2 linked regions of the Danio rerio genome follow. The protein of the gene in region 1 interacts with the protein of each later gene in a pairwise test. Links are inferred from orthologs where the notes say so. Each region holds a gene or a part of one and is shown on either strand. Other genes may lie near its edges. The genes, in order: efhc2 and edc3.

The links.
Region 2: the proteins of efhc2 (region 1) and edc3 interact in binary tests that used the Homo sapiens proteins (3 or more experiments, as listed by UniProt). The link is inferred for Danio rerio from reciprocal best matches to the Homo sapiens genes EFHC2 and EDC3.

Annotation. Positions count from the first base shown.
Region 1 is NC_133184.1:35,454,825-35,466,499, reverse strand, and holds part of efhc2 (EF-hand domain-containing family member C2), read left to right. Parts: intron 1-946; coding exon 947-1,112; intron 1,113-4,458; coding exon 4,459-4,601; intron 4,602-4,689; coding exon 4,690-4,886; intron 4,887-5,022; coding exon 5,023-5,156; intron 5,157-7,715; coding exon 7,716-7,910; intron 7,911-11,675. UniProt on the Homo sapiens protein: Microtubule inner protein (MIP) part of the dynein-decorated doublet microtubules (DMTs) in cilia axoneme, which is required for motile cilia beating.
Region 2 is NC_133200.1:21,934,970-21,946,644, reverse strand, and holds part of edc3 (enhancer of mRNA-decapping protein 3), read left to right. Parts: intron 1-244; coding exon 245-519; coding exon of another isoform or gene 520-549; intron 550-5,179; coding exon 5,180-5,524; intron 5,525-6,228; coding exon 6,229-6,382; exon of another isoform or gene 6,383-8,474; intron 8,475-8,886; exon of another isoform or gene 8,887-9,056; intron 9,057-9,089; coding exon 9,090-9,307; intron 9,308-11,675. UniProt on the Homo sapiens protein: Binds single-stranded RNA. Involved in the process of mRNA degradation and in the positive regulation of mRNA decapping. May play a role in spermiogenesis and oogenesis.

The sequences.
Region 1 (11,675 bases):
CATTTGCACCAATTTGTGTGCTGCTTTGAAAAGGAGCTGTGTTAGGGAGCATTGCTGCCCCCTTGCTGTTCTGAGGCAACTGAAACTGTGGCATTGACTAACTAAAAGCTAGTCTAATGTCAATGATACAGTTTTTTGTTGTTGTTGTTGTCATATAAAGTGCATGTTGGTGATAGGTGGGGCCAAATTGTAAGTCCACTTTGCTTATTATCCACACAGGTATGCACAGCAGCACACAAATATCTTTAATATGCAAGATTAAAGGATTAAAATATAAAACATTATTATTTTCTACATAAATATAAAATTAGCTACCTCTTTCCAAACCTTCACCTCAGAGGGCTTAGGTGGAATTCAGCTCATTACATAGATGGCCGCCCAGTTTAACATTGTGCAGGAGAAGATACATTTCCTCACTAGTGAAGCATTCCGTTTTCACCATTGCACCTAGTTAATAGCAAATGTGCCAAAAAATTTCCAAATTTGTCAAATGACTATAAAATAAATTTAAAACCCTGTACTCTAATCTACCCTAAATGTTGTTGTGGGACAATGTGAGAGACAATGGTAGCATGTCCTTAACTATATCTCCAGATATTTTTTGTTTAATTCTTTCTGAGTGTTTGAAGTGGAGAAAAATTAAGTTTTATTTGGCGTTGTGTCTTTGTCTCCTCTTTAGATTATAATTACTTGTCAACGATGCAGAGACACTGTTTTTCCTGGGCATATATAAACATTCCTGCCTTTCACCTTAACAAGGGAAAAGTAGTGCTTATATTTCCAGTTGGCAAACGCTATCTTTGAACTTGTTGGACTTGCCATTGTTCTGACTCTGGACATTGATGTGTGTTTTACTGACTGTTTGTGTGAGAAAGTGGTAGAAATTGTATTAAAGAGATGTTTTTAAATGCCAAGTGTAGATGACAACATGTCTCCCATTTCACAGAGGACTTCCCATCTATCTCATACAAGGCCTCACCTCCACCTAAACCAGCTAAGCAGGTGCCACCCTACACTGGATTTGGATCTGAGGAGGATTCACTGTGTTCTTGCCAGGGTTTGCTGCCTAAACCCCCACAGAAGGATTTCAAGAAGCTTATGGAGAAAGACAGGTAGCCAGCACTATTAATCTCCCACAGGATGCTTCCCGCTCATTTCAAACCATTAATATTATATCAAAACAACATGTCAGACCCATACTGGCTTTCTGATCATTCTGACAGAAGAGTTTAGACCCTTGTCAATCCCACTAAAATCATCTTTTAGTTAAGTGCAGCTCTTTGCACTTGGAAGTGGATGAACACATGCCCTTTATAAATAATCAAAGGCTTAAATGCAATCTCATGATACTTCTGATGTAAAACACGCTTTTGCAAGTCGGTTTATTATTATACATAGTTTTCACAGAGCTTTGCTTCCAAATATAATCCCAGAACCAGTATCACACGGCAAATTATTCACTCGCTCAATTTGCTTTGGACAATACTGCGTTAGACATTGGCAGGCATAGGGGTTGAAGGGAACAAGAAGGCTCTGCTAAATAAAGGATTGTTTTAAAGATGGTAAACTCAAAGCAGATAAGTGACCGGAGTAAAGCCACAGTGAATAAGCAAGGAAACTTCCTGAATGGTCCTCTCGGCCTAGTGAACTAAATATTTAAAGAACAGTCACTGTAAGATGGAAAGAGGACATGTCTTTCTGAAAGAGAACTTTCTAGTAAAGTAGAGGTCTGTTAATATAGTAAGCATATAAGAATACTTGGCACAAAAATGTTGCATGCAAGTAATTTCAAAACAGATGGTGATAGGCTGTGAGTGATACAAACAGCTTAAAGGGATTCACCCAAAAAAGGGAGGTCACCAAAAAATGAAAATGATCCCATGATTTACTCACCCCAATGGGCATTATAGGTGTATATTAGGGCTGTGCAATATGGCAAAAGAAACATATTAAGATTTTCAATATCAACAATATTGTGATTTCGATTTTATGACAGACTTAATCTGTGTTTAGTGTGAATCTGAAACATTTCAAAAGAAGAACGTTTTGATCTTTATCAAAGACCTGTAACATGTCTCTAAAACAGGCATAAATAAAGCAAAAATGACCTAGTAAGGCTGAAGAAAAGTGTCTCAAGAACAGACCTATGGCAAAACGTGTATGTGAGAGTGCGCATCATCAAACTCAAGTAATGCCGTGTTCAGACTGCATCATTTTAGCGACAAATGCCTCAAATTACAGTCAAATAAGTGCTTGTTCATGCAAGTAACAGTCACACAGTGTGAACTATCAAAGATGCAATCTGAGAGAATTGCCGATGAGTTGCAGACACCCTTGAGATAGTTGGAATGCTAAATATCTGCAGCTGTCTGCGATTCAAATCCTGCCGTGTGAAGTGTGTTCTGATCAAAAATAACATCGCCGATTACCTACTGCCAATGTAAGAGCAGCATCCACTTGTATGGGTATCTGCCGGCCAGTGGGAGGTTGAGAAGGAAATTAAAAGCGCTCATTTTCAGTTTATTTGGATCCAAGAAAGGAGGAAAACCTAGTGTAAAGTTTGCAGGAGCACATATCACAACCAGAAAAAAGTTGAGGAGAAATTGCTAATTCCCTTCAAAAGCCATGTGAGCAAAATAAGTACATTTCAGCAATGACAGAATTGCTAACCTAGGTAGTCATGCAATGTGAAAATCATGTAGTCTGAACTTGGCATAAGGCACCGATGTTCTGCCTGACCAGATTTTAGAAGTAGTTGTGCGTGTATTCACAGATTTGTTTTGTCATGCATAGATCATTGACCTCTTTGTGATGCTGCCATGAAATAGGCCGTTCACATTTTGCGTCTTTTGATTGCACAAGTACACTATTTCCCATGGAGGTGTGTGGATTGTGTGCACACGCTTTTCGACTTACAAATTACCTGGTTCTGCCATACATCAGCCTTCCTGTATCCAAAGTAACTTAATCCAAAACTACAGATGTTGACTTTTTTTGACACCAAGTCGCCCTGTGCTGAAATTATAATCCCTGTCTACCAGGGGTGTACAAACTCAGTCCTGGAGGGTCAGTGTCCTGCTGAGTTTAGCTCTAACTTGCTTCAACACACCTGGCAGGAAGTTTTTAGTATTCCTAGTAAGAGCTTGATTAGCTGGCTAAGGTGTGTTTGATTAGGGTTGGAGCTAAACTCTCCAAGACACCGACCCTCCAGGACTGAGTTTGGACATCCCTGCTGTATACACAGGCTATTCAGTCTGGTGTTTACACGCGTTATGACTGGGTCAAATTCCATACTGCAGGAAGATTGAGCTGTAAGGCGATTTAGAAATCACGCATGTCCAAATCTCGATTTCGATATGATTTTAATTAATCGCACAGCCCTAGTTTATATGATTGACTTCTTTTAGACAAATCCAATCTGAGTTATTTAAAAAAAACTATACTGGACTTTTCCAGGACTACAATGGCCATATTTGGCTGATTATTATCAGTAGTCTACTAAAGTGCATCTATCCATAATAAAATAAAGTCCCACACGGTGTTCTGGGAGGTGAATAAAGGTCTCCTTTACTGAATCCACTAATTTTTGTGAGAAAAATATCCATACTTTAAAAACCATTTTGTGTAACTTCCAGCCAGCATCCTCTATCATCTTCTTCATTTTTGAGGTGCATGTTTTGGTGCATTAGCACCATCAGATGGACAGGACTGTGTTTTGTCTGTCTTTCCTCCCTGTTTCTGCTTTTATTTCAACTTCACACTCAAGAGACAGAAAAACGCAGTCCTGTCCAGCTGATGGCACTAAAATGTTTGTTATAACAGCACAAACCAGCACAAATCAGGCACAAACGAATGACACTAGTTTGGTGTGATTTCGAGAAAATGGGGTGGAGAGTGATGCCACGGCTCCCGAAATATTGTTTATATCTAAACGAGACAAACAGATATAGTGTTTGTTTTAACGGCACAAATCCAGCACAAACAACCTGTGCTGATTTGAAGTGATTTGAGCAAGATGGGGTGGAAAGTGACATTGAACGGTCAAAAGAAATAATGATTAATATCTCAGACCCCAAACCAACACAAACATTAATTCTTGCACAAATATAGCACAAACGAATGGCATAGTTTTGGGGATTATTTGTTTTTATGGGGTGCCAACTTCATGGAGGTCAATTTGATTTGATAAAAAAACGAAATTATATGCACGAATAAATATTTTTCATTTTTGGGTGAACTTACCCTTTATTGAATGTCTAAATCTCCTAATGTTCACATTATTAGATAATAAAATAAGAACATTTGAATGAGATCTGCTAATCAGCTCAAACAAACTGTGCAATAGGCGAAATATTCTCCAACATGGCCCTGAAAAAAATCCAATAAACGTAATGAATCATTTAATTTCATTATGTTTACTCGTAATGATCTTATGCCAGTTATTGTTCTCAATGTAAGGCAAGGTCTGGTGAGCAACGTGCTGAGATTTGTGGGGAAAATGCTGACAGACAGTCCTGTCGACAAGGAACGTGTTTTTATCATATGCTTCTACCTTACTGATGACACAATAGCTGTCTTTGAACCTCCACAGAGAAACTCAGGTATTGTCAGCCTATTCATATAAATTCAGTTTAGGAAAATAAACATTTCAATTTTACTGTATGTTTTTATATTGCTCTTGTGATGAAGGTGTGATCGGGGGTAAGTTCTTAGAGAGGGGGCGAGTGAAGAAGCCAGGACAGGAGCTGTTTAAAAGTGAGATGTCGGAGTATTTCACTGCTCAGGATTTGTATGTTGGAGCTCATCTGCTTCTGAACAGTCAACCTTTCCAGCTGGTGGATGCTGACGATTTTACATTCAGCTATATGGAGCAGCATGCAGATGAGGTAACACACAAAAACCATCTCGTTGCTTCAATTTTCAGCCTGTTTTAATTAATGTTGCTGAGCAAAATATCAAGATATATGTCTCTATATAGAATCTCCATTAAAAGTCCTTCACCTATTTTTCTCAATTATTTAGTTCCCCAAGGCCAACATTGGCACCATCATTAGCAAGGTAAAATCCATCAGTGAGGAACAGCAGAAGAAAGTAAAACAGTTTTTCACCATGAGTGACCCAAGCAGCACTGGCTCTCTTCCATATGAGTCATTCAGGTAAGGAGCTGGCCAAAAATACACAAATAAAAGACACATTACATCTTGTTCCCGCCTGCCATATATTATATAGATATACCGAGTGAGATTCTGGATCAGTTTCACTGATTGTGAGATTTAATTATGGGCAATGTTATTTGCAGAAGTTTTCTTTAAAGGGGTTGGTGCAACAGACCTGCAGGGAAAAAATGTTGAGATTACATTTGAGTTAAGCCGCAAACATTTAGATGACCAGCAGGTTTTGTGCATTTGTGATCCACATACAGTACCCGCTGTCAGATTTAAAGCACTAAAACCAGCAAACAGTGTAAAACGGGTTGACATGATTGATGTATAGAGGACAGGGATATTAACACTCAGAAAATAGAGATAGAAATTAAGAGCAATAAAATGTGACAAGTTCAGTTGGTCTAACATGTTTTATAAGCTTTTCTCAAGCTATGAACTGATAAAAACACAATGAGCAATTGAATGCTAATTGCACTGACCAAACAGAACCAAATTACTAATGTAAACACTTTCATTACTACATTACATCATTACTACATAAGCTTTAAGTACAAAGCTGGTAAAATGAAATGCAGAAAAAGCCTTGTTTTTGTGATCTAGGTGGGTGTTAATGGGATGTGACATCACGTGAAAACTCTGAACAGAACTGACAGGAAAAATCAAGGACAAGTCATGCCAGGTTAAGCATGGATTATGTTTAGAAATAAGTGAACTCTATAGTTAATACATTACTACTGGGTATTTTAAGTTACAAAACAACAAGTTGCTTTAATTAAATTACTTAAAAATTAACTCGTCACTGAAAAACTACAGTAACGAATTAGGTGATTTAATTAGTTACTTGCAGTATTCATTCATTAATTAATTTTCTGTTCGGCTTAGTCCCTTTATTAATCAGGGGTCGCCTCAGCGGACTGAACCACCAATTTATCCAGCATGTGTTTTACGCAGCTGATGCCCTTCCAGCTGCAACCCATCACCGGAAAACTTATATAGTTTAGTAAATACTGAAAATACAGTTGAAGTCAGAATTATTAGCAATAATTCAGTTTTTGGTGTACTATCCCTTTAATCACTGTCATGTAATGTTTCAAAGACACATGCATATACAGTTGAAGTCAGAATTATTAAACCCCCTGAATTATTAGCCCCCCTGTTTATTTTTTCCCCAATTTCTGTTCAATAGAGGGATGATTTTTTAACACATTTCTTAACATAATAGTTTTAGTAACTGATCTCTAATTACTGATTTATTTTATCTTTGTCATGATGACATTAAATATTTTACTAGATATCTTTCAAGACACTTCCATACAGCTTAAAGTGACATTTAAAAGCTTAACTAAGTTAATTAGATAAACTAGGCAGGTTACAGTAATTAGGCAAGTTATTGTATAATGCAGAGGTGTCAAATCCAGTTCTTGGAAGGCCGCAGCCATGCATAATTTAATTCCAACTTTGCTTCAACACACTTACCTGTATAGGTTTTAATCAAGCCTAAAGGACTCAGTTAGTTTGATCAGGTGTTTGATTAAGGATTGGCACTAAAATGTGCAAAGCTGCGGCCCTCTAGGAACTGGATTTGATGTGGTATAATGGTTTGTTCTGTAGACTATAGAAAAATATATAGCTTAAAGGGGCTAGTAATTTTGACCCTAAAATGGTTCATAACAAATTTAAACTGCTTTTATTCGAGCAGAAAAAATATTATCAGGCCTACTGTGAAAATTTACTTGCTGTGTTAAACATAATTTGGGAAATATTTTAAAAGAAACAAAATTCAAAATGGGGCTAATAATTCTGACTTTAACTGTACATTCAGGAGTTCTGTAAGTCAGTTCAGAAAAGCAGATTATTTGTATTTTGCTATATTAATAGATTTTGCATATTAATTATATTTTAAACTAAAGGTTATGCTTATTAATACAGCTGCATTCTTAAAAAACACTGATTTGAGTCAGAAAACAGTTCAGGAAAATATATAAATTCAGAAAAGCAGAATAATACATATTCCAATTTTTTTATTTATTTTTTTATTTTTACAAATTTCAATTTTCAAATTTTCCCTATTTAGGTATTTTGTAAAAAATAATTATTTTTCAGCTATAGAAAGCTACATTTGTCAGACAATTACACATGCTGAAGAAACAATTAAAATGTTAATAAAATATATTGCGTGTACTCTATGAAAGCAGATGTCTGAAACAATTCGAAATACTTTTGTAATTCTGATTACTAAAGAATGTGATGCTTTTTATTAAAATGCTTAAGCCTTTCATGTTTTTATTAAGCGAAAAGAATGAAGTTATTTTTATTCTATATGAATTGAGTTTTTTTTATTCAGTCATTTAATTCTTTATTTAGTAATTAAATTACTTATCAGACATAGTAATTAGAAATGTTATTCAAATACAATTTAAATAATGTAATAGCTGCCAATTATTTACTTTTTTAATTTAACAAACATATCACTGTTTTGTCACAGAAAAAGCTGTGGGTTACCTCTTCAGTTTGAGACAGTGATTGAGTAAATGTCTGTGTGGTTTCCAGGACTCTGTTGGCAGATTTGGACGTGGAGTTGTCCGAACATGAGATCATGACACTGGGTCGTGTTTATTCGGTGCGGCAGCAGCCAGAGGTGAACGTGGGTCTCATGCTTGCTGTGGCTCAGGATCATCTGAAGAAGAAAAACTTTGAGAAGTTCTCAGAAATGATCCAAGCTTTCACACATGAGGACCGGGACAGGTATAGTTTGATCATTGAAAATAATACATACATTTTTTAGCTTATTAATACAATTTCAATCAAAGATACATTCTAATTAATTTTAAATAAGCAAAGTGTGGGGCAAAGATTAATTACAATTAATTGCATCCAAAAGAAAAGTTAGTTTTGACATAATTTATGCATAAATTAAATATGTGTATTATGTATATGTGATATGTATATGTGTATATGTGATATACACATAAATAAATAAAATCCTAACTATACTAAACATATTTATATATTTATAATATAATGTGTATTATATACATGCATTATTCATATCTAAATATAAATAAACATTTTCGCAAACATATGCCTGTATGTGTGTATTTATATATACATAATAAATATACATAGTACACACTTATACAGCTGAAGTCAGAATTATTAGCCCCCCTTTGAATTTCTTTTTGAAATATTTCCCAATATATGTTTAAAAGAGCAAGGAAATTTTCAGAGTATGTCTGATAATATTTTTTTTCTTCTGGAAATTCTTATTTATATAATATCGGCTAGAATAAAAGCAATAAAAAAAAACATTTTACGGTTAAAATTATTAGCCCCTTTAAGCTATATTTTTTTTCGATAGTCTACAGAACAAACCATTGTTATACAATAACTTGCCTAATTACCATAACCTGCCTATTTTACCCAATTAAGCCTTTAAATGTCACTTTAAGCTGTATAGTAGTGTCTTGAAAATTTTCTAGTCACATATTATGTTCTGTCATTATGGCAAAGATAAAATAAATCTGTTATTAGAAATGAGTTATTAAAACTATTATGTTTGGAAATGTATTAAAAAAATCTTCTCTCCGTTAAACAGAAATTGGGAAAAAAATAAACAGGGACTAATAATTCAGGGGGGCTAATAATTCTTCAACTGCATATGAAATGAAAACAAACTTATTTTTATTTGTGATTAAACCAGTTCTTAGCATTTTATAAAATTAAAATGTATCTTTTATCACATTTGTATCAATGAGCTAAGAAAATATGTATTATTTTTATATTGTCTAATTTTTTTGGAAGTCACTGCATTTAAATATTTAATCTAATGAAATGAAATACTATCTGTGTTCCATTCTATACTTCATCTTCAATATGACCGCATGCATAAAATCATGTATAAAATCAACACTGACATAAACATGCCATCATGCAAAACCACGAAAGCATGTCACACGTTCTTCAGGGACACAAACTCACAGTTCTTCAGAGTTACACAGTCACCCTTAACAATCACGCAGAGGCAGAATAAGCATCAATCTGCTTTAGATTGAGGGGGTGCGATTAGTTCCAGCGGCTCAACTGAAGCATTGGAAACAGATGAAGACCTGTGGCTTGTTGCAGGCAGGGGAAATGGATGAGGAAGAAAGCCGACAGGTCAACGTGCTTGTCCTGTTTATGTGGCCCTGTGGAAAGTCGACTTATTTTACGATGTTCAATATGTCCGGAAAATAACCAAGCTGGAATGTGTGCAGGTCCAAACTGCGTTGGAAGACTGTAAACTGCGTGACTATTTGTGAATCAGAAATGTATTTATATGGTTTATGATGTGGAGAAGTTTGGGGTCAGTAATACATTTATTTACTTTATGAAGACAGTAAAGATTGAAATAGTTAATAATGGTTAATTGTTTTAAATAGCTTTTTGCTTTTTAACCTTTAATTCATTTAATTATCTTATACAAAAAATGATAATGTGAAACTGAATACTGACTGCTCAGATTCAGTTTTGCTGTTATATTTAATTGATTAACTGAATTAATGTGCTGTTAAATGTTTCGATTATCGTTTGAATTTGAATTAGTTTTTTATCTTGAGTTTTTAAGTTAAAGTTCAAGTCATTTTGTTTTTATTATTTTTTATTTTAATATTTTTTGGTTTAATTATTTTATTTTTAAATGTAATTTTGTAAATGTAAAGCTGGTTGTACTCATTCCAGTTTTACTCATCTTTTTATTTGTTTTTGTATTAATATTTCTTTACTGATTTATTATTTTCTTTTTTGTTATAGTTTTAAGAGAAACAAAAAATTAAATATATTCTAGTTTATTTAATTAAAAGTAAACAAAAATGATCTTCGAAATAGTTTTTTTGTGCTTTATTTTTTTAGTTTAAGTTAGTCATTTTATTAGTTTCTATGAGCTTTAAATATTTTTAGTTTTATTTTTAATTAACAAATGAATTATGAAATATAATTATTAGTTTAATTTAGCTTTAATGCAAGATAAAATAAAATGGGAAACATTCAACATTAGAGTAAAATGTTTCTAATAAATTACAATACATGTTTGTTTTAATGGAAAGTTTGTCATTTTCTTTGTATAGACCATTTTGAGGGATGTAAACAAAAACAATGGTCCCAACGTTTCTATATTTTCCTAAAATCCAAAATGAGCCACATATTTATGAATAATGTTATGATAGCTGTTTTATAGGTCAGTTGGCATTTCTGTGTGGAGTTTGTATGTTCGCCGTGTTCGCGTGGGTTTCCTCCGGGTGCTCCGGTTTTCCCCACAGTCCAAAGACATGCACTATAGGTGAATTGTGTAAGCTGAATTGTCTGAAGTGTATGTGTGTGAATGAGAGTGTATGGATGTTTCCCAGTGATGGGTTGCAGCTGGAAAGGAATCCGCTGCGTAAAACATATGCTGGATAATTTGGCAGGTCATTCTGCTGTGGTGACCCTGGAATAATTAAGGGACTAACCTGAAAAGAAAATGAATAAATGAAAAGCTGTTTTAAAATTGAGTTATGATTGAATTGCTTGCTGTTACAGTTATGAACTAGTTTGATAACAAACAGGAAATGTTCATGGGCCAATGACATGATTACATTGAAATGGTCTATAATAACATTATGTAACAGAGGCCAACTAGCGACCTCACTCCTCTGACCTCACTCACCTCCTCTGACACCAATTCGATGCCTGTTCAGACTGGGTTTGGTCCAGTAGGACCTATGAGTTACACATGGGGGCTCGTCCGAAATGGGATTGAGGTTTAGTGGTGTGAGTGTAACGGAGACCCGCTAGCGAAGTGCTATGCAGGTAAACCTCACTCCTCTGACCTCTGAAGGTTCTCTAGTGACAGACACTAGAGGCCATGCTCTTTAGCCTCCTTGTTAGAGCAACCAACTCCCATGCAAAGAATTGCTGGTTTAATCCCAGCTCAGACTGGGTTGGGTGCAGTAGGATTGGTAGGTTACACATGGGGGCTCATCTGGGATATGAATGAGGTTTAGGGGAGTGAGTGTAACGGAGGCCAGCTAGCGATGTGCTATGCAGGTAAACCTCACTCCTCTAATCTAGTGACAAAGGCTATAGGCTATGGTCTTTAGCATCCTTGTTAGAGCAACACACTCCTATGCAAAGAATCGCTGGTTCGATCCCAGCTTGGACCGGGTTGGGTGCAGTAGGACCGGTGGGTTACACGTGGGGGCTCCTCGTGTTGGTACTCCGGTTTTCACCACAGTCCAGAGACATGTGCTGTAACTAAATTTATTACACTAAATTGGTCGTAGTGTATTAGTGTGTTTGAATAAGTATGAAAGGGTTGTGGCTGGAATAGTTAGTGGTTCATTCAGCTGTGGCGACCTCTAAAATAGTTACTTAAGCCGAAGTAAAATTAATGAAGCCAAATCTGGGGCTAATCTAACAAAATATCTTACATTAGAGGTACAAAAATGACTAAACCCAAATTTATATGTTAAAGAAAAATATTAAATACAAATTTTA
Region 2 (11,675 bases), on another chromosome or scaffold:
CTTACCTGGTTAAAAAAAAGGTTATTAGTTACCAGACACACCCCTTACTGCTGATTGGCTACAAGTGTGTTTTGGGCGTTGGTCCGACACTGTTGTCAAAAGCATGTTTCAAATATTTCTTGATGCAATTGAGTGAGTTGCATTATATACTACAGTACATGAAATGTTACTCGGCTTAAAACAGGATAATTAATCTATGTGTACCATGAAGTCGCTTACTATATATTTCCTTCTTCCTCCACAGTGCCATGGACATAAAAGATCTCAAAATTTTAGAGATCTCCAAAAATTCTATTGAAGTTTCCAAGCAGAATGGTCCAGAGTCCAGCTCCACCACCTTGATGCCGCACGTTGGACGCAAGGACAAGGGTGGGGGTGGTGGTGGTGGCGCCTCGGTGAACAGTGCTCCTGTGATGGTACCTAATAAAGCTGAACCCAGACTGCAGGAAGGAGGAGTTTCGCCAGTGCCACATTATTCCAAGAGTTACGGTGAACGTCACATAGATATGGCTGTACAGGGTAAAGGCTTTAGACGAAGACACAACTCATGTGAGTCTTCTTAGTCGTATATCTATTTAGTTAAACTTCAGCCTTTATGTATATGATTCTATATAGTGAATATACAGTTAAAACCGTAACATTGTAAAAGATGATCATTTATTGTTAAGGGATATTATTAGACCTATTACAAATTGTAACTTAATTGAAAAAAAAAATCACGCACATCAATCTAAATGGGTGCTCAGCCAAACAAAAAGTGCTAAATGATTTCTGAAGGATCACTATCATTTTTATTTTTAATATGTTAAAAAAATGCATAAAGGCAGTGACACCAAAGCTCCAAAAATATAAATGTTTTGACTTAAAAAGGCTCTGACAAAGTGTGTGACGTTTCAAGCACATCAAAAACGTCACATGCTTTGTGAGAGCCTTTTTTAATTTAATAAAATGATATTTTTGGAGCTTTGGTGTTGCCTCCTTTAGGATTTTTTTACAAATTAAAAAATAAATTGATTGTGATCCTTTAGAAATCTTATTTAGTGCTTAAGAAACATTTGTTATTAAAGTGGCAATTGTTTTTGCTGCTGCTTTGTGGAAACTGTGATTCAGTTTCATTTAGTAGTTTGGGACAAGAAGGTTTTATATGGAGAAAAAAAAGAAGAAAAAACATTACTTTGTTTTAAGCAAGGATCCATAAAATATATCATAAGGGACAGTAAAGAATTGTAATGTAACAAAGGATTTACGTTTTTTTATATAAAATGTTCATTTGGATATGCAATTCAAAGAATCCTGAATTTTCCTTAGAATAGCAGTAAAAATAGTTTTCAGCATTGATTAAAAAGAAACATTAGTAATTGAAAACAAATAATAATTGATCTTATCTAAACAAAAAAATTAGAAGGATAATTTTAGGATAATATGACACTGAAAATTAGACTAGTGACTAGTAAACACATTTTTTTTAACATTTCCTTTTTAAATCACATTTTTACAATTTCTAATCAAATAAATGCAGTTTTAGAGCCATTAGAAATTCTTTTTCATTAGTCTTAAAGGGCACCTATGGTAAAAAAAATCTACTTTTCAAGCTGTTTGCACAGACATGTGTGTAAGTATAGTGTATAGACAGTCATATTGGGGTGATATAAACACACCCAGTGCTTTTTTTTTGTAATTTAACAACATAAAATTGGTGGACCAATTAGAGCGGTTTTCAGACGACCGCGACTTGATGTAGGAGTGTGGTCCTCCCGCCCACCAATATTGATTGACTGGCACGCGTCACCTAATCCTCCATTTGTAGTTTCACATCCGCCATTTTCAGCGCGAGTCAAAGCGATATCTTAAAGGAGCATCCTGGCTCTATTTTTAGATGCAAGGCTCATTGGGCTCAACACAATGTTCTCCACATTATCGCTCTAATTGGAATTATTGGTTGTACTTTTAGGTGGGTTTGCAGACGTGTACTTTTCATTATGTCTACCTTAAACTTCAGCCGTTTGCATTTCTCGCGTTCACAGAAGCTCCCTGTGATCTTAACTAGGTGCAGCTGGAAAAGTGCAAGCGCGTTGCCTCATGTGCGTGTCTCTCCATTGGAAATAAAATAACAAACTTGCCTGCAGGTCGCACATCAGAAGCTCCGCTCTTCGTGGTGCGACGTTGACACAGCGCCATGAATTTTGAAATTCTGGGCCTGGGTTTCTGTTGGGGTCACTGGTGTGCCGTGCGTGGCTTCGAGCTGCACATCCGGTGCCTCAGTCTAAGTTAATTCAGTATGCGTGGTTATTAGTCTAGGTGTACAAGCTCGGCACTTAAAACTAATTCACAGTTGGCTGTAAAACTATACAAAGACTCTTTACAAAGAGATTTTGTACTCTCTGCTTGGTCTGTGTCCGAGTCTTACATGTACAGCTGAATGCTGATCCTCTCATGTAGCTTACCTTCTCTGTCTGCCTGTCTGTTGCAAACACAGAGCTGGTGAGCTCTTGGCTCCGCCCCCTTGTTACATTGGGCGGGAAGCCGAAACTAATTTTCATGTGAAGCAACACGCCCCTAAAACAGCGAGCTGTGTACACGCCCCCAACATGACACTTTTTAACACATTATAATAAAGAAATCTGAACTGTGTGTTGAACTGAACCTAAACTGGCACACTCAGAAGAACCTTAATACTGATATTAAATCATAAAATGGGGTAAACTATGTGCCCTTTAACTGGTAATGTAAGTTATATTTTTTTCCTCTAACACATTTTTTCTCTATAAACTACAACTCAAATTCCAGAAAAGTTGAGACATTTTTAAAAATGCTATAAAATCAAGAATATGTGATTTGCTTATTATCTTTAACTGTTATTTAATTGACAAAATGTACTTAGAAAAGATTTCTAATAATTTCAGAGAGCAAATGAGTTATATTCTGGAAATATAAGCTAATTTTGATTTCAATGCCTGCAACACACTCCAAGTTTTACAAGCAAAAGGTTTTGCTAGGGCTGGGCGATTAATCAAAAAGTAATCGAAATCGACAATCAGAACCTACAATTTCCAGGTACATTTTTCAATTACTTTACCTACCACTTGTGGAGTCAAGTGACCTCGCTTTGTTAAGGCTATTTTCTACTTTTTTATATCATACTTCTGACATGCATACAGTCTGGTGCAGCCTTCGCATGCCCACCACCTTTCAAAAAATGTAGCTACACAATACAATGATATGTAGTGCAAGCTTTGTGATTGGTCGTTTTGGTAGTGGTGACAAGGGTGGATGGCACATTTTAGGCAATGTGTGTTTTATTATTAGTTGTTCAGTGTTGATGTTCAATAAATAATCATAGATATTAGATTATATATAGATAGTGTGTGTTTCGCTTCTCTGTGTTATAATTTTAAAATTAAGTAATCCACTCTACATTCAAAAATTTGTCAGTTGTAAGATGTGAGCATATTTACTGTGCAAAACCTGTCATTGAACTATGGGGTCAAAAAAACAAAATAAATATAGAAAATATTCGTAATCCAATTAAAAATGTTAAATTAATCAAGATTTTGATTTTAGGCAAAATTGCCCAGCCCTTATTTTTGCCCAATCTGCCATAATATAAAACTTGAGATGCTTAACAGTCAGTTGTTGTCATTATCTGTTTTTCCTTTTCATGATTACTTATTTTTGATCTGGACATCAGGGAGGCCAGCCAAACCACACTGTTTGTAGCACAGTGAACCAGGATGAGACTTGATCTAATAACCATACACTTACCATGAAAAACATTATCCTGATGATGGTATATGACTATGGTCATATATGGTATATGATATTCTACCAATATATGTCTCCATGTGAATGGTTCTTTTGCGCACATTTCTTTGCTGATTCCTGAACCATGAATTACTTTTACATTTGCAGACAAGTCCATATTTTAAGCTTGTTTCTGGAAAAAAACAGACGTTTGAGATTCCAGTCTCTAAGTTGAGATTGTATTTTTGATTATCTGAAATCCGCTCTGGTTTTCTATACTGCTTTCAGCATAAACAACAAGTCAAGTAGCATTTCTAGATGCAGCAGTTGCAGAGATGTTTCTGAAGTTCCACTAAGCTTTATTTAACAGCACAACATGACAGTTTTTTTTTATATGCAGTGCAATCTGAGGCTCTAAGCTTGAGCACATTCAGCTGTGGGTTCCTGCATTGCTCCACACTGATTGAGATTTATTTGTATTTACTCAATGTTTTCACAACATTAAATGTGGCAGTTGACTAAAATTGGCTGTGATTTTGCATTGATAAATGTGATTTTGGTTTTGTTTGGAAATTCTCACATGGCTTTTGGCACTAAGTGATGATCCATGATCCTGCTTTACTTGCAAATACTGAGATGCTTATTTTATACCCAACATGTAGCCTTAATGCAGTGCATCCGTAAAGTATTCATGTATGCACACTGCCAAAATATCAATGGATTGGCTTTACAACAACTCTGTGACTGTCCTTGAGTGACCCAGCCAGAGCCCAATCCTGTTGAACATCTCTGGAGAGATCTTAAAATGGCTGTACACCATCACTTTCTATCAAGCCTGATAGAGCTTGAGAGGTACTGCAAAGAGAAAAGGGCAAAAATTCCCAAAATACAGGTGTGCCAAGCTTGTGGCATCATATTCAAAAAGACTTGAGGCTGTACTTGCTGCCAAAGGTGCATCAACAAAGTATTGAGTGTGAATTGTTTTGAACTTGATTTTTCAGGTTTTTTATTTGTAATAAATTTGCAACAATTTCAAAAACTTTTTTTACATTGTCATTATGAGGTATTGTGTACAGAATGTTGAGAAAATAAATGAATTTAATTCATTTTGGAATTGAGCTATAGTATAAAAAAATGTGGAAAAAGTGAAGCGCTATGAATACTTTGCAGATGCAATGTATATCACCAATTGACCTGCTTATTATGGACTGCTTCAAAATGTTTCGTTTGGATATTCTGTGACCCTTTAACTTGTATTTTACCTCTTTCCCAATGTTTTTGGAGTGTGTAGCAGTAGCAGGCATTAAAACAAAAATCTGTTTCTTTAGACTTTTGTCACTTAAACAAAATGTAAAGATGATCAGCAAATCGCAAATTCTTGGTTTTATTGCATTTGTTTTCAGATTGTTATAAATGGCCGCTTTATTTTTGTTTCCAGGGTCGTCTAGTTGCAGAGGTCCAAATCAGGCCACACCGAAAAAGAACGGACTCAAGAATGGCGGTCACATGAAGAACAAAGACGATGAATGTTTTGGAGATGGTATGGACGATGTTCTCGATGAGGACTTTGACTTTGAAGGGAACCTGGCGCTGTTCGACAAGGCTGCGGTGTTCTCGCAAATCGAATCGTCAGAACGGCGAGGAAACGGTGCGAGATCTCGAGGGACACCTGGAGAGCAAACACCATCCAGATACCGGCACGATGAGAACATCCTTGAGGCCAAACCTGTCGTTTACAGACAGATCACAGTTCCACAGAATGGATCAAAAGAATATAGCACTGGTAAGAATCAGAGCTGCACTATAAGAAAAAAATGGCGTTGCAAAATTTAGTTTTTCTGCGATATGTAATATGAATACAATTGCACCAGATGGATTAAATGGCTCTAATTTCAAAGAAAGTGTCATTTAGGTTCATTAGGATGATTTTGTAGGGCAGTGTATCTGCATAAAATATAATAAACATAAAGCAAAGATAAATACAATGCACATTATGCAAATTAAATAATGAAAACCTTATGAAGTCTAAACACATTCAAATGTAGAAAATTAATAGTTTTAAGGAATATTTAGATTCATACCTTACCACAAGGTATCTTAATGGGTTTTGTGAATTAAGACAAAGTCCACTCAAGGAAGAAAATTAATAATAAAACTTAAAAATACATAATATGAATAAAAACAAATACAACAACAAAACAAAATCCTTTACTTAAAATCCGCTTTATCCGCTACTAAAATGTTAACAATACTTTTGAACAAATTGTCTCAAAACACACTTGCAGTCAATAAGCAGTAAGGTGTGTAGTTACTATAGTGGAGATATCAGAAAGGGCTTGAACTCCTGTTGGTTTGTGATCATGTTTGATTTAGTGCTTTCAATTAGTGACGTTTTTTTGGCAAAGTTGACTTTGCGCATTAGTTAAATAGCTATATTGGTATATTGTCTTCAAATATCAGAATTCATGCCATTTATTTCCTCCCTAGATTCAGGTCTTGTGGTACCCAGCATCTCCTTCGAGTTGCACAAGCGTTTGTTAGCTGCAGCAGAAAGTCACGGTCTCTCTCTGGAGCGCAGGCTTGAGATGACGGGTGTATGTGCGAGTCAGATGGCCCTCACGCTACTTGGAGGACCAAACAGGTTTGTGAGGCCTAAACAAAAAAGAATGTCATTTTGTGTCAAATAAACCAAATTACAGATGTCCTGAAGCATTCTTTGTTTGCACTGGTTTACATTTCCTGATAGTTGTAATTTAAAAGAAGGTAATTAACATGACAAAAACCATAAATTAGGATCTTAAGATTCCAGCTGTTTTATGACCTGTTTAAAATTTGTATTAGAAGTTGTAAGAATGAAACATAAAGAGAAATGTGAGCTCTGTCTGTTTAGAATAATATAACCGTATGGCTGTTATGAAAACAATTCTCTAAATAACATTCCTGTCACATGTCTCTGACTTTGAAATAGAAAAATCCCATCTTGAGAGTGCAAAAGCATTCACTGCATGATTAGGCATATTGTAATGTTAGAATAGCCCCATGATTCAATATTTGAAAGCAAAAAAAAATTTATTAAATACAAATAAGTTTATATTTTTAAGATGTGATATAGCTAAGTCACATCACATAAGCAAGAATGCTGAACATCTGTGCATTGCAATTTACAAATATAATATTGATATAATATTGATTGACATTCACATTCACCCATTTAGCAGACATTTTTGTCCAAAGCAACTTACTAGTGAGGCATTAAGCAGTTCAACATGAAGAGGCATAGGAAGTTGTTGTTTTTATGCAGAATATTGTTTTTATTTTCATTTTTAGTCAAGAACCAAAGCAGCCAATGTTGGGTAAGTTGTTGTAGATTCCAAATTGCTGATTACTACTGAAAAATTGTTATCTGATTACATTACTAATTACTTAATGTAAAAAGTAATCAGATTACTTTTTACTTTACTTCGTAGTTACTTTTAAAACACATTAAATATACCTTTCAAAATACAAAATAAACTGCAGCTCTTTTAGTAAAATAATATTCACTGAAAAACATTAAAATGGGTTGATCACTGCAGCTTGACATATTCAAAAACTTAAAGAGTTCGCCCAAAACTTTCAATTCTCTTATCATTCACTTGCTTCAAACCTCTGATAACATAAAAACCATTTAGATCAAAACTGAATACCTGTAACGATTGAAATCCATAATATGAAAAAGCACTGCAGTGTCTGGGTGTTCTGTGTTTGTCTGAGGTAATTAGTCTATCTATATGTGTATATTCCATACAAAGTATGAAGATGACCGGTCAGTTCTTGTCATAAGACTCTCAGTTTTATTGGGTGCGCAAGTTACATGCGAGTGCGTGCAAAAGCACTCCCAATATGCGCGCAATTTTTGCGACTCGATTGGAATTAACAAACTCGCACATCCAAAAGACGTGATATGTAAAGGGCAGCTTCACAGCTTTTCTCTTTACATTCAGAAGATACCTTCACTGCCGATCCTGTACAAAAATCCAAGTTTGCCTGTTTAGTTGAACCACCGTGTTTTTGGGTGCTGGTGTTCTGTTTGGTGACTAATATTGTCCTAGAATGCTTTCCATTCAAGTGCTTGAACAAGTTGCTGGTCTAGAAAAAAAGCAGTTGAAAGTTCTTTAGAGGCTGGACATAGACTTCATTTCATTGTTTTTTTTTTACACTCAATGAAACCAATATAATGTCTGTGTTTCCACTTGAGGAAGCAACCATCCTCCTCAACAGCTGTTTCAGCTTGCGTTCTAGAGCAGTTTAAAAGCGCATGCTTATTAACTGACGTTGCAGCAGAAAACGGGATTTAAAATAAGCATTTTTTTCTTCTAAAAACTGTATTTAAAACGCAATTACATCGACTTAAGTAACTGTAATTACACAGATTAAAAATGTAATGCGTTACATTACTGCATTCCCAAAAAACGTAGTTAGAATACAGTAACGTGTTACTGTTTATTGAGATACACCCAACTTTACAAGCAGCTAAGGAAGCCCTGCAGTTGGAGATAACAAAATGTAAAATTCCTGTTAAACCTGCATTGAATCTGAATATTAGTGAGAAATGGCAAATGGAATGGGATGATAGTAGAATTAAAAATTTATACAAAGTTAATCTATTTGTAAATGAACAAAATAATTACCATTTTGAAAATAGACATGATCAGGTTGTGTGTGTGTGTATATATATGTGTGTATATATATATGTGTGTGTGTGTGTGTATATATATATATATATATATATATATATATATATATATATATATATATATATATGTGTGTGTGTATATATATATATATATATATATATATGTGTGTGTGTATATATATATATATATATATATATATATATATATATATATATATATATATATATATATATATATATATATATATGTGTGTGTGTGTATATATATATATATATATATATATATATATATATATATATATATATATATATATATATATATGTGTATATATATATATATATATATATATATATATGTGTATATATATATATATGTGTATATATATATATATGTGTGTATATATATATATATATATATATATATATATATATATATATATATATATATATATATATATATATATATATAGTTGTACATATGTAGAACTGGTCATTCAAGACTTACACTTATATTTATTGAAGGAGAAAAAAAACTGTGTAAGAAGGTTTTGCCAATGCTGCTGATATGGCATTAAACATAAATAAATAAATGTAGTCAATAACCTGTGTTTAAGATGACACAGATTGACCCATATGTATGCTCTGGTTTTCATCAGTCTGGTTCTTCTCTTAGACTTACCCCAAAGAATGTGCATCAACGACCCACGGTAGCCCTGCTGTGTGGCCCTCATGTCCAGGGAGCTCAGGGAATCAGCTGTGGACGTCACTTGGCCAACCATGAAGTAGAGGTCGTCCTTTTCCTGCCAAATTTTGTCAAGATGTTGGAGGCCATCACCAGTGAACTAGCACTATTCGGAAAGACGGGAGGCAGACTGGTTTCTAATGTGAAAGGTGTGCCACTTATGCAACTGCATTTATTAACTACATTATTTGAAAAGTACTGATATATAAAATAAGTTTTAGATGTTTAATTATGGTTAAATGTCAGAAACATTTTAGAAAATTTATCGTGATGTACAAAACATTAGGGTTAGTGAGGCTGCATTTACACTATTGTATTTTTATTTTAAAACCGCTTTAAACTCTTTATCCATATTGTCTTTTTTACTATGTTTTAGTATCCCTCCACACTTTACAGCATACAGTACATGATTTGTGACCATTCACACTCACTGAGCATGCAAATAGTTCACCGACATCCTTGCTTGTTTTGTATTGGTCATATGAGAGGAGCGTGATGAATCAGAGAACGATACACAAGGCAAGAGAACCAGTCAGGGAGTGATTGTGGATAGCTGCGCCTCTGTATTCAAAAGTTTGCATTTCAGTCCATCTAGTGTAGACGCTTGATGTAACTATAACAAAGCCGATACATTTTAAACCAAAATGCACCAGTGTAAAAGGCACCTACGTATCCTATAATGACAGAGTAATATAGTCATGGCACAACAGTATATTTCATATTACTAAGGATTGTAATTGGCTTTTTTTCCCCATTTTATATTTTTTAAAAATTATGCATTTCTAATGCCTTTCACATTACCAAGAGCAGCTATTAGATTGTTATGTAAACATGTGATGCATATTTTGTTTTTCTTAAGAGAATAAAGACAAATGATGGGAGGTACACTACCAGTCAAAAGTTTGGGGGCATTTTTGTTTTTAATTATTTCATGTTTTTTTTTTTTTTTTTTTTTTTTTATAAAATAATTCTGTTCACCAAGGCAGCATTTATTACGTATAAAAACAATTGTCAAATTGTAAAATGTTTGTAAAAAAATTTAAAAACTGCTTTCTTGTATGTAGTTTTAAATGAAATTAATACTCCAGTCATTATTGCTTTTATTACTATTAACATTAATAATAATAATAATAATGGTAATAATGGTAATAATGCTAATTAATATAACAGTGATTTCTGAAGGATCGTGTGACTCTGAACAATAGAGTAATGAAGGTGAACATTCATCTTTAAAATCACTGGAATAAATTTATTCATTTTCTTTTCGGCTTAGTCCCTTTATTTATCCAGGATCGCCACATCGGAATGAACCGCCAACTTATCCAGCACATGTTTTACGCAGTGGATGCCCTTAAAGCTGCAACCCATCTCTGAGAAACATCCATACACTCGCATTCACACTCATACATTACAGGCAATTTAGCCTACCTAATTCACCTGTATCTTTGACATGTCTTTGAACTGTGGGGGAAACCGGAGCACCATAAGGAACAGTTTTTTTATTATTTTACAATTTGTACTATATTTTTGATTAAATAAATTGATGAAATGCAGCTTTGGTGAGCAGGAGAAGCTTATTTCAAACATTTAAAAATCATACTGAACCCAAACTTTTGACCACTATTGTAAGAAAACAAGTTATCTATGTAAGGTTGAAGTCAGAAGTATTAGCCCCCCCCCTGTTTATTTTTTCCCCAATTTCTGTTTAACAGAGAGCAGGTATTTTCAACACATTTCTAAACATAATAGTTTTAATAACTCATTTCTAATAGCTGATTTCTTTTATCTTTGCCTTGATGACTGTAAATAATATTTGACTAGATATTTTTAAGACACTTCTATACAGCAAAAAATAAAAAATAAATTAAAAGGGTGGGCTAATAATTCTTCAACTCTTTGTGTTTGCACAAGCTTTGGCACTGCTGTCAACTAAAGTCACATTACATTTATTTATAAATGTAGCACTTTATATAGTATTTTAAAGATTAAATTCAAAGAAATTACAATTAGAATTAATTTCAGTTCTTACTATTAACCAGCAGTTTGTTACATTACACAGCACACCCTGCTGTTACGTAATCACCATGAACCACTAGAAATTTTGCGTTACGTTTTTTTTTAAACGCTGTTTCGATCCCCTAAATAAACTAAAAAAAAACTCTGGAATTTTTAAACTAAATGATATGACCACTTATAGTTAGATGGGACATGGGACCAAAAATTTTGTCATTTGAACCATGCAGTGTAAATGCATGTTTCCATCAAGACACTTCTTAATTTAAAAAGACCGTTATCATGGGTTTGTATCTCGCATGTGTTCCTAACACACCCACCTAAAGGCTTTGTTTAGGTGGGCTAGGAAGTCTTGGAAACTTCCACTCTGATTTGCAAAAACGTATATACTTTGAACTCAGCCACCCACCTTACATAAATATCTTCCATTTTTGGGTTAACTTTAAACAGAGAAACACACTGGTAGATTAAGTCATCACTTACTCACCCTGGCTTTGTGCTTAT